2 linked regions of the Xenopus tropicalis genome follow. The protein of the gene in region 1 interacts with the protein of each later gene in a pairwise test. Links are inferred from orthologs where the notes say so. Each region holds a gene or a part of one and is shown on either strand. Other genes may lie near its edges. The genes, in order: cda and plekhb2.

Evidence for each region.
Region 2: the proteins of cda (region 1) and plekhb2 interact in binary tests that used the Homo sapiens proteins (3 or more experiments, as listed by UniProt). The two-hybrid records come from large-scale screens. The link is inferred for Xenopus tropicalis from reciprocal best matches to the Homo sapiens genes CDA and PLEKHB2.

What each region holds. Positions count from the first base shown.
Region 1 is NC_030683.2:129,542,338-129,546,702, reverse strand, and holds the start of cda (cytidine deaminase), read left to right. Parts: upstream 1-1,408; 5' UTR 1,409-1,581; coding exon 1,582-1,753; intron 1,754-4,365. UniProt on the Homo sapiens protein: This enzyme scavenges exogenous and endogenous cytidine and 2'-deoxycytidine for UMP synthesis.
Region 2 is NC_030681.2:126,768,109-126,771,932, reverse strand, and holds part of plekhb2 (pleckstrin homology domain-containing family B member 2), read left to right. Parts: intron 1-158; coding exon 159-264; intron 265-1,516; coding exon 1,517-1,650; 3' UTR 1,651-3,824. UniProt on the Homo sapiens protein: Involved in retrograde transport of recycling endosomes.

The sequences.
Region 1 (4,365 bases):
ACCGGGCGAGGGCGGGCAGGGCCAGGCCAGCGTTACGCCCCCTTTGTCTCTTTAATTCCGGCCCGCCAATGACACCAAGTCTCGCGTGATGAGACTTGGCGTCGTCGGCGGGCCGGATTAAAAAGGCCAAGGGGCCGGATGTGGCCCGCGGGCCGTAGTTTGCCCACCCCTGGTGTAAGGGGTGGGGTTAGGGGGGTCAGTATATGGGAATTGGGGGTGTTTAAGGGGTGGGGTTAGGGGGTCAGTATATGGGAATTGGGGGGGTTTAAGGGGTGTGGTTAGGGGGTCAGTATATGGGAATTGGGGGGGTGTAAGGGGTGGGGTTAGGGGGTCAGTATATGGGAATTGGGGGGGTTTAAGGGGTGGGGTTATGGGGTCAGTATATGGGAATTGGGGGGGTGTAAGGGGCAGGGTTAGGGGGTCAGTATATGGGAATTGGGGGGGTGTAAGGGGTGGGGTTAGGGGGTCAGTATATGAGAATTGGGGGGGTTTAAGGGGTGTGGTTAGGGGGTCAGTATATGGGAATTGGGGGGGTGTAAGGGGTGGGGTTAGGGGGTCAGTATATGGGAATTGGGGGGTTTAAGGGGGGACTTTCCCCTGTCCCCATATACTGACCCCCTAACCCCAGTATATGGGGTCAGTATATGGGGACTGGGGAAAGTCCTGTCTCTCACAGTCTGTCTCTAATTTTCTCTCTCTTTTACTTTCCTTCTTAATCTATTTCTGTCTCTTTCTTTGTCTTTCTCTCTCTCTCTCTATTATTCTTTCTTTCTTTCTTTCTCTTTTCTCCCTCTCTATTGCTTCCCCCCTCATCTTCTTGCTTTTTCTTTTTCCCTCTCTCTCTATTTCTTCCGCCCCTCTCTCTCTCTCTCTCTCTCTCTCCCTATATATATATTTCTTTCTTTTTTCCCCCCTCTCTCTTTCTTTCTTTCATCTTTTTCTTTCTCTTTTTCCCCCTCTCTCTATTTATTCTCCCTTCTCTCTCTATTTATATATTTCTCCCCCCCCATCTCTTCCCATTGCTCTCCAGGAATGCCCATATTCCAGCCTGGGCACGGTGACATTCTGGCGGTGGCTCTGGATACACACGGAGTGACGTGACAGGACAGCACGTAGCCGGAGAGATGACTGTACTGAGTCAGAGCAGCAGTGACGGGCAGCCATGCAGGAAGCCGGAGTCATTTTGTTCCACCAATGAGGTCACACAGCACTGCAACCTGTCACTCACCCTCCCTGCCTCCCTCCCCATGAACAAACCCCTGCCCCTGGGTGAAACAGACAAGATACAGAGGAGGAATGCAGGAGGGCTGAGGCCTGGCCAATCAGAGAGGAGCCACCCTGAGGAATTCAGCACCATACAAATAGTGAGGCACGGAGGCTGCAGGATACACACACCCACAACTACAGGACACAGCTGCCAACAGACACCTACAGCCAAGGAGCCAGGGGGTTAATGCACCCAATCACTAAAGTTTATTCACTGGCCCTCACTGGCAGCTACTGACCCCCACAGACCCACTGCTGAGACTTTAGGGGACACACTGATACCCACAGAGGCTTCCCCACTCCTGAGTGCCAGGGATGGATGGGAATAGCAACTGCCATGATAACGGATGTATAACCAGTCTAGAGACTGAACTCATCCAGAGACTCGTTGCCCAAAGCCACGAAGCCAAGCAGCGAGCCCACTGCCCCTACAGCAAGTTCCGAGTGGGGGCCGCACTCCTGACCGCGGATGGGAAAGTCATTCTGGGCAAGTACCGCTCTCTCTCTGCCAACTCTCTCCTACTTCTGGCTTTGTACTGGCTGAGTGTCTTTTTTTAACTTCCGCTGCTATGTTACTTGCTATTAATCCTCATTTAATGTGCCAAAGGGAATTACTGGTGCAAAACTTTAGACTTTATTGAATGTGTGTCTTTTTTCAACCTCAGCTACTGTGTTAAATATCTCTTCATCCCTCTCTGGCCCTGGAAATGCTCATTCAGTATTTTGAAACTAACCCCAAACTCTCACTGCCCCATTAGCTTAGTATCTTATCCTCCAGCTCCGCAGTTTTGCCCTCCTACAGATATGTATTCCATGGATTAAAGGGTAAGTTCATCAAATCAGACTTACCTGACTGTTAATAGCATCAGTAGCTTTTTCTCCTGCAGTACCACTTGTGACCAGTAGCCAGGTAACTTTTTTATGAAGAGTCTTCCTTCTTTTAATTAGTTTGGCTTCTCTACACTTTAAAATAGCCAAATGCCCCTTGCCCCCCCCCCCCACAAATAATGCTGAAGGACGGAAGCACATATATATATATAGCATTCCCACCCTTCCAGCTGTGCCCATCGTGCCTGCGCTGTGTAGGGCACTGTGTTTGGCAGCAGCTGTGGGGCAATGTCAGGAGCAGCTGCTCGGGTGTTGGAGGCAAGAACTCACATGATTGTGTGAAGGGAAAGGGACAGACACAGTGACAGTTACACATAACTATAAACCCAGTGAGAATGAGGAATGAATGGATATTGGGGAGTTGTATCAGGAGTCAGAACCAGCAGTGCAGGGAAGGGAAAGGGACAGACACAGTGACAGTTACACATAACTATAAACCCAGTGAGAATGAGGAATGAATGGATATTGGGGAGTTGTATCAGGAGTCAGAACCAGCAGTGCAGGGAAGGGAAAGGGACAGACACAGTGACAGTTACACATAACTATAAACCCAGTGAGAATGAGGGATGAATGGATATTGGGGAGTTGTATCAGGAGTCAGAACCAGCAGTGCAGGGAAGGGAAAGGGACAGACACAGTGACAGTTACACATAACTATAAACCCAGTGAGAATGAGGGATGAATGGATATTGGGGAGTTGTATCAGGAGTCAGAACCAGCAGTGCAGGGAAGGGAAAGGGACAGACACAGTGACAGTTACACATAACTATAAACCCAGTGAGAATGAGGGATGAATGGATATTGGGGAGTTGTATCAGGAGTCAGAACCAGCAGTGCAGGGAAGGGAAAGGGACAGACACAGTGACAGTTACACATAACTATAAACCCAGTGAGAATGAGGAATGAATGGGTATTGGGGAGTTGTATCAGGAGTCAGAACCAGCAGTGCAGGGAAGGGAAAGGGACAGACACAGTGACAGTTACACATAACTATAAACCCAGTGAGAATGAGGGATGAATGGGTATTGGGGAGTTGTATCAGGAGTCAGAACCAGCAGTGCAGGGAAGGGAAAGGGACAGACACAGTGACAGTTACACATAACTATAAACCCAGTGAGAATGAGGAATGAATGGATATTGGGGAGATGTATCAGGAGTCAGAACCAGCAGTGCAGGGAAGGGAAAGGGACAGGCACAGTGACAGTTACACATAACTATAAACCCAGTGAGAATGAGGAATGAATGGATATTGGGGAGATGTATCAGGAGTCAGAACCAGCAGTGCAGGGAAGGGAAAGGGACAGACACAGTGACAGTTACACATAACTATAAACCCAGTGAGAATGAGGGATGAATGGATATTGGGGAGATGTATCAGGAGTCAGAACCAGCAGTGCAGGGAAGGGAAAGGGACAGACACAGTGACAGTTACACATAACTATAAACCCAGTGAGAATGAGGAATGAATGGATATTGGGGAGATGTATCAGGAGTCAGAACCAGCAGTGCAGGGAAGGGAAAGGGACAGACACAGTGACAGTTACACATAACTATAAACCCAGTGAGAATGAGGAATGAATTGATATTGGGGAGATGTATCAGGAGTCAGAACCAGCAGTGCAGGGAAGGGAAAGGGACAGACACAGTGACAGTTACACATAACTATAAACCCAGTGAGAATGAGGAATGAATGGGTATTGGGGAGTTGTATCAGGAGTCAGAACCAGCAGTGCAGGGAAGGGAAAGGGACAGACACAGTGACAGTTACACATAACTATAAACCCAGTGAGAATGAGGAATGAATGGGTATTGGGGAGTTGTATCAGGAGTCAGAACCAGCAGTGCAGGGAAGGGAAAGGGACAGACACAGTGACAGTTACACATAACTATAAACCCAGTGAGAATGAGGAATGAATGGATATTGGGGAGTTGTATCAGGAGTCAGAACCAGCAGTGCAGGGAAGGGAAAGGGACAGACACAGTGACAGTTACACATAACTATAAACCCAGTGAGAATGAGGAATGAATGGATATTGGGGAGATGTATCAGGAGTCAGAACCAGCAGTGCAGGGAAGGGAAAGGGACAGGCACAGTGACAGTTACACATAACTATAAACCCAGTGAGAATGAGGGATGAATGGATATTGGGGAGATGTATCAGGAGTCAGAACCAGCAGTGCAGGGAAGGGAAAGGGACAGACACAGTGACA
Region 2 (3,824 bases), on another chromosome or scaffold:
TGCAACCAAAGTGAAGTGGCAGAAAGAGGCAGAAACAGTAACTAGAACTACAGGTAGATAGTTGATAGATAAAGGGAGATGTAGGTAAATATGTATTTATTCTAAAATATTTTTGTACGCGCTAATTAATTATAAACCATTTTCAAAATCTTTTTTAGGCCTATGGATATGATCAGTACCCAGGGGGCTACCCAGTTCCCGGATCGCAAGTTATCTATACCAGAGATGGGCAAGCATATGCCTCCTACCCATATCCCCCACAAGGTAAAAGCCAATGTTGCATTAGATTTTTAACTGTGAATATGATAGGGCACTTAGATTGTAAGCTCCTATGGGGCAGGGACTGTTGTGAATGATGTATTATCTCTGTATAGTGCTGTGGAAATGTGTTGGCACTATATAAATAACAGGAAATAAATACATAAAAACAGTTACCCATCATTACCTCATCATATTTGGTAAAATATACATTACATTAGTGTTTCCAAAACTGTGATGCTTCCCCCCTCAAGGGAGCCAAGAGCAGTGGCCGGGGATGGCCCAGGCTGAAGTCCAATAAGATTCTGCTTTGAGGAAAATGTTAATTAGGGTGAGATTTGGGGTGAACACTCACAAGGACTGTTCCCATGTATAAACACCACAAGGATGTTATTCTTGGGCCTGGGGCCTTTCGTGTGCCATTTGTTTTGGAAGTTTTCAGCAGTACAGAACCCTGAATTTCCTTTCCTGACTTAATATGTAGGGTTGCCACAGGGTAAAGTGGGCAGAAAGCTGTATCACAGCTCCACCAGGTTATCTGAGGATGTAATTAACTTTATTCCCTACATTTTGGCCTCTATTCAGTTTTGCTGAATAAATACAATTCTGACATAAATACAAATACAATTCTGACATAAGTGTACTGTGACACTACCAACAATCAGTGCCGGATTTCAAATCCGCCCCGAGGCCGCCAGCCCAGGCGCCCCCCGCAACTCACCCCCCCCCAGCGCACACATGCGCATTCGCAACTCACCCCCCATCCCCCTAGCGCACGCATGCGCATTTGCGTGGGCGCCGATATAAACTCATACGCAGCAGTGGGGAGAGGTCCCCACTGCTCCGTATGGGAGCAGAATGTTTGCCGCCCTAGGCCCGGGACTTTGTGGCCTCACAAATCCGCGCCTGCCTACAGTGGTGCTCAAAAGTGTGAATCCTTTTTAATTCCTAATATTTCTGTATACATAAAAACTAAAATGTGATCTGTTTTTACAAAAGTCCTAAAACTGTTTTTTTCTTAGACAATGTCTGAAGGGACATAAAATAACGGTGTCAAATCTGGCATTCGGACAGCGTAAAATAAAACACACCTTGATAAATTTGCCATTTATATTACACTGCTTTTTACACCATTTTCCCAATGAATTTCTAATAAATAGGCCCCTCATAAATGAGCTCTAAAGTCTTTTTCTTTTTATTTAGCTAAAATTGAGTACATTTGTAACAATGCCATTGTTTTATTTGTTGAATTTTGTAGGATATGGAGCACCTCCGACCAATCACGTCATCATCCGAGAGAGATACTATGACAATGATGGGGACCTTGCGATGGGAATGCTTGCAGGAGCCGCTACGGGAATGGCTCTCGGATCTCTCTTTTGGGGATTTTAAATGCTCCCACAAAATGATTGCAGGATTTATTTACTAGATTCCCTCAACACTCGCAGCTTTTCCAAAGAAGTAATATTTCTGGTAATAGTTTTTAGAACTACAGTCAGAGCAATTGACAGAAGTGTAACATAAAGCTAAACAGTCGTATATTTATAGAACAGTAACACACATAACTTCTATATTGTATAACAATAAGTAATAATGATTAAGTATTTATTTATAAGTGTGTATTGCTCTATGTATGCTCATATTATACCTGATATACTACTGACACTTTGGTTGCTTTTAAGAGTTTTCTACTCAAAGACCATACAGTTTAGGGGACATTTACTCTGACCCTGAATGCAAGAGGTGCAGAAGTATATCCCTTAGTGCAATTGCATTCAGGGTCTGGCTGCCCTCTGTGCCTAACGCTGGATATCCTGTGCTAGTTGTGGGGTGCAGTGCCAGTGGGCACAAGGTCCTTAGCACCTGCTATAGAGCAAGCTGTAAGTACAGGGTTCCATGACATGCAAGTTAGGGGATGGGTAAGTGGAAGTCCATGCCACTCTTACTTGAATACAGTGATGTTGAATGCAGGATGTGCTGTATTCATGGGGGAAATTCAGGCTCTGCGGTTTGTTTTGTAGTGTAAAGACCCAGGGCAATGTTTTGAAGCTCAGGACAAGGCACAAGGTGCAGAAAACATGGCAGATTTTGCATTGTGCACTCTCCCCTGTAAATGGCACACGTTGTTGGTGCATGGTTTTTAAGATAACATATAAACTGAGTAAAAAGTTCTGATGTCTTTATATACTGGGTCATTCATTTCTGGCCATGCTCTTGAGAATTCTGGCCGTGCCACTCCCATTAGCAAGTCAAAGCCACTGTATTTTAAGCCCAAGACAAACAATTTCTAGGAGATCAAAAACCCTTCTCTCCTTCTGCACAAAGACAAAAATGTACCATGTGAGATTTCCCCGCACACTCAGATGTTCTGCCATGAATTGTTCATTTCAAGTGACCTGGGCTCAACTACTGGCTAAAAAGGAATTTCTGATTGCTACAGTTGTCCCTAAGAGAAGTATAGCAACACATCCAGTGACCCATTGCCCCAAACCTGGAGAGAGATTTAGAGAATTTTTGAGTAAGCAATAAAGATATATTATCTTAAGGGCAATGGCACATGGAGTGATTCACTTGACATTATATAATGCTCTGCCAGGCTCAAGGGTGCCATATAGAGTGGCACATGGTCAGGACATGATTGTCCTCTTGAATGCCCCTTATTTTTGTCATTAATAAGGTAGAAGCAAACATATGAGGAATTGTAAGCAGCACAAGGCACAAAGGGATCCCTTACAATTACAAGTTGGGCTTTATTGTATTGACTGCTAATGAGCAGATTTATGGTCACAGTGTTTATGCCCTGGAGCAGAATGAGCCCTTTTGCTAATTAGTTTGCACCTTATTCCACCTTTTTGCTTTTTTCAGAGCAATTGGAGGAGAAATGGTTTCACAGCCTTACCATTAAAGCCACTATATAATGACCTCTGTCTTATCTGTAGCAATAAAGGGAAGGGAGGGGTTTATCATATACAGATTATTTGTTTAATTTATTGGAGGGAAAGGGAGGTATTAAGAGTAAGATAACACAATTGCCTATTAGTGCTTTATAGTAATTAAAAAAAATACAATTAGAATTTATTTTTAAAAACATGCAGAACAGATATCTATCTGGCTCATGTTGAACATAAATGTATATCGTTTGTTTAACAATTATCTTTACACAGCATGGATATTTACAGGAGTAATTGGTTGAAAGGTGGTTAAGTGACAAGCGGGCACCACATGCACATCAAAGAGATATGCCTTAATTGCTTTTGCAGCCACCCAGCTCTCCAAACCAGGTGACCCAAACTTAATTAGAGATGCAGGAGAATGATCCAGTGACAGTTCTTCCTACCAGTGCTATGTGTGGGACCTGACTGATTACTAATTTAATATGTTTTAAATGGTTTAAATAATAGAAATGATATTTTGCTTTCCGGCACACATTCAAGGATTACTAAACTCTCCCTCCAAGTTAGTCTCAAAAATGTCTCTCTGTGGGCTCCTCCTTTTGGAAAAAGGGGTTGGCAGGGACCATCTTGCCCCTAACTGTGTGATTTACTGTTAAATCAGTGGCACAGAGC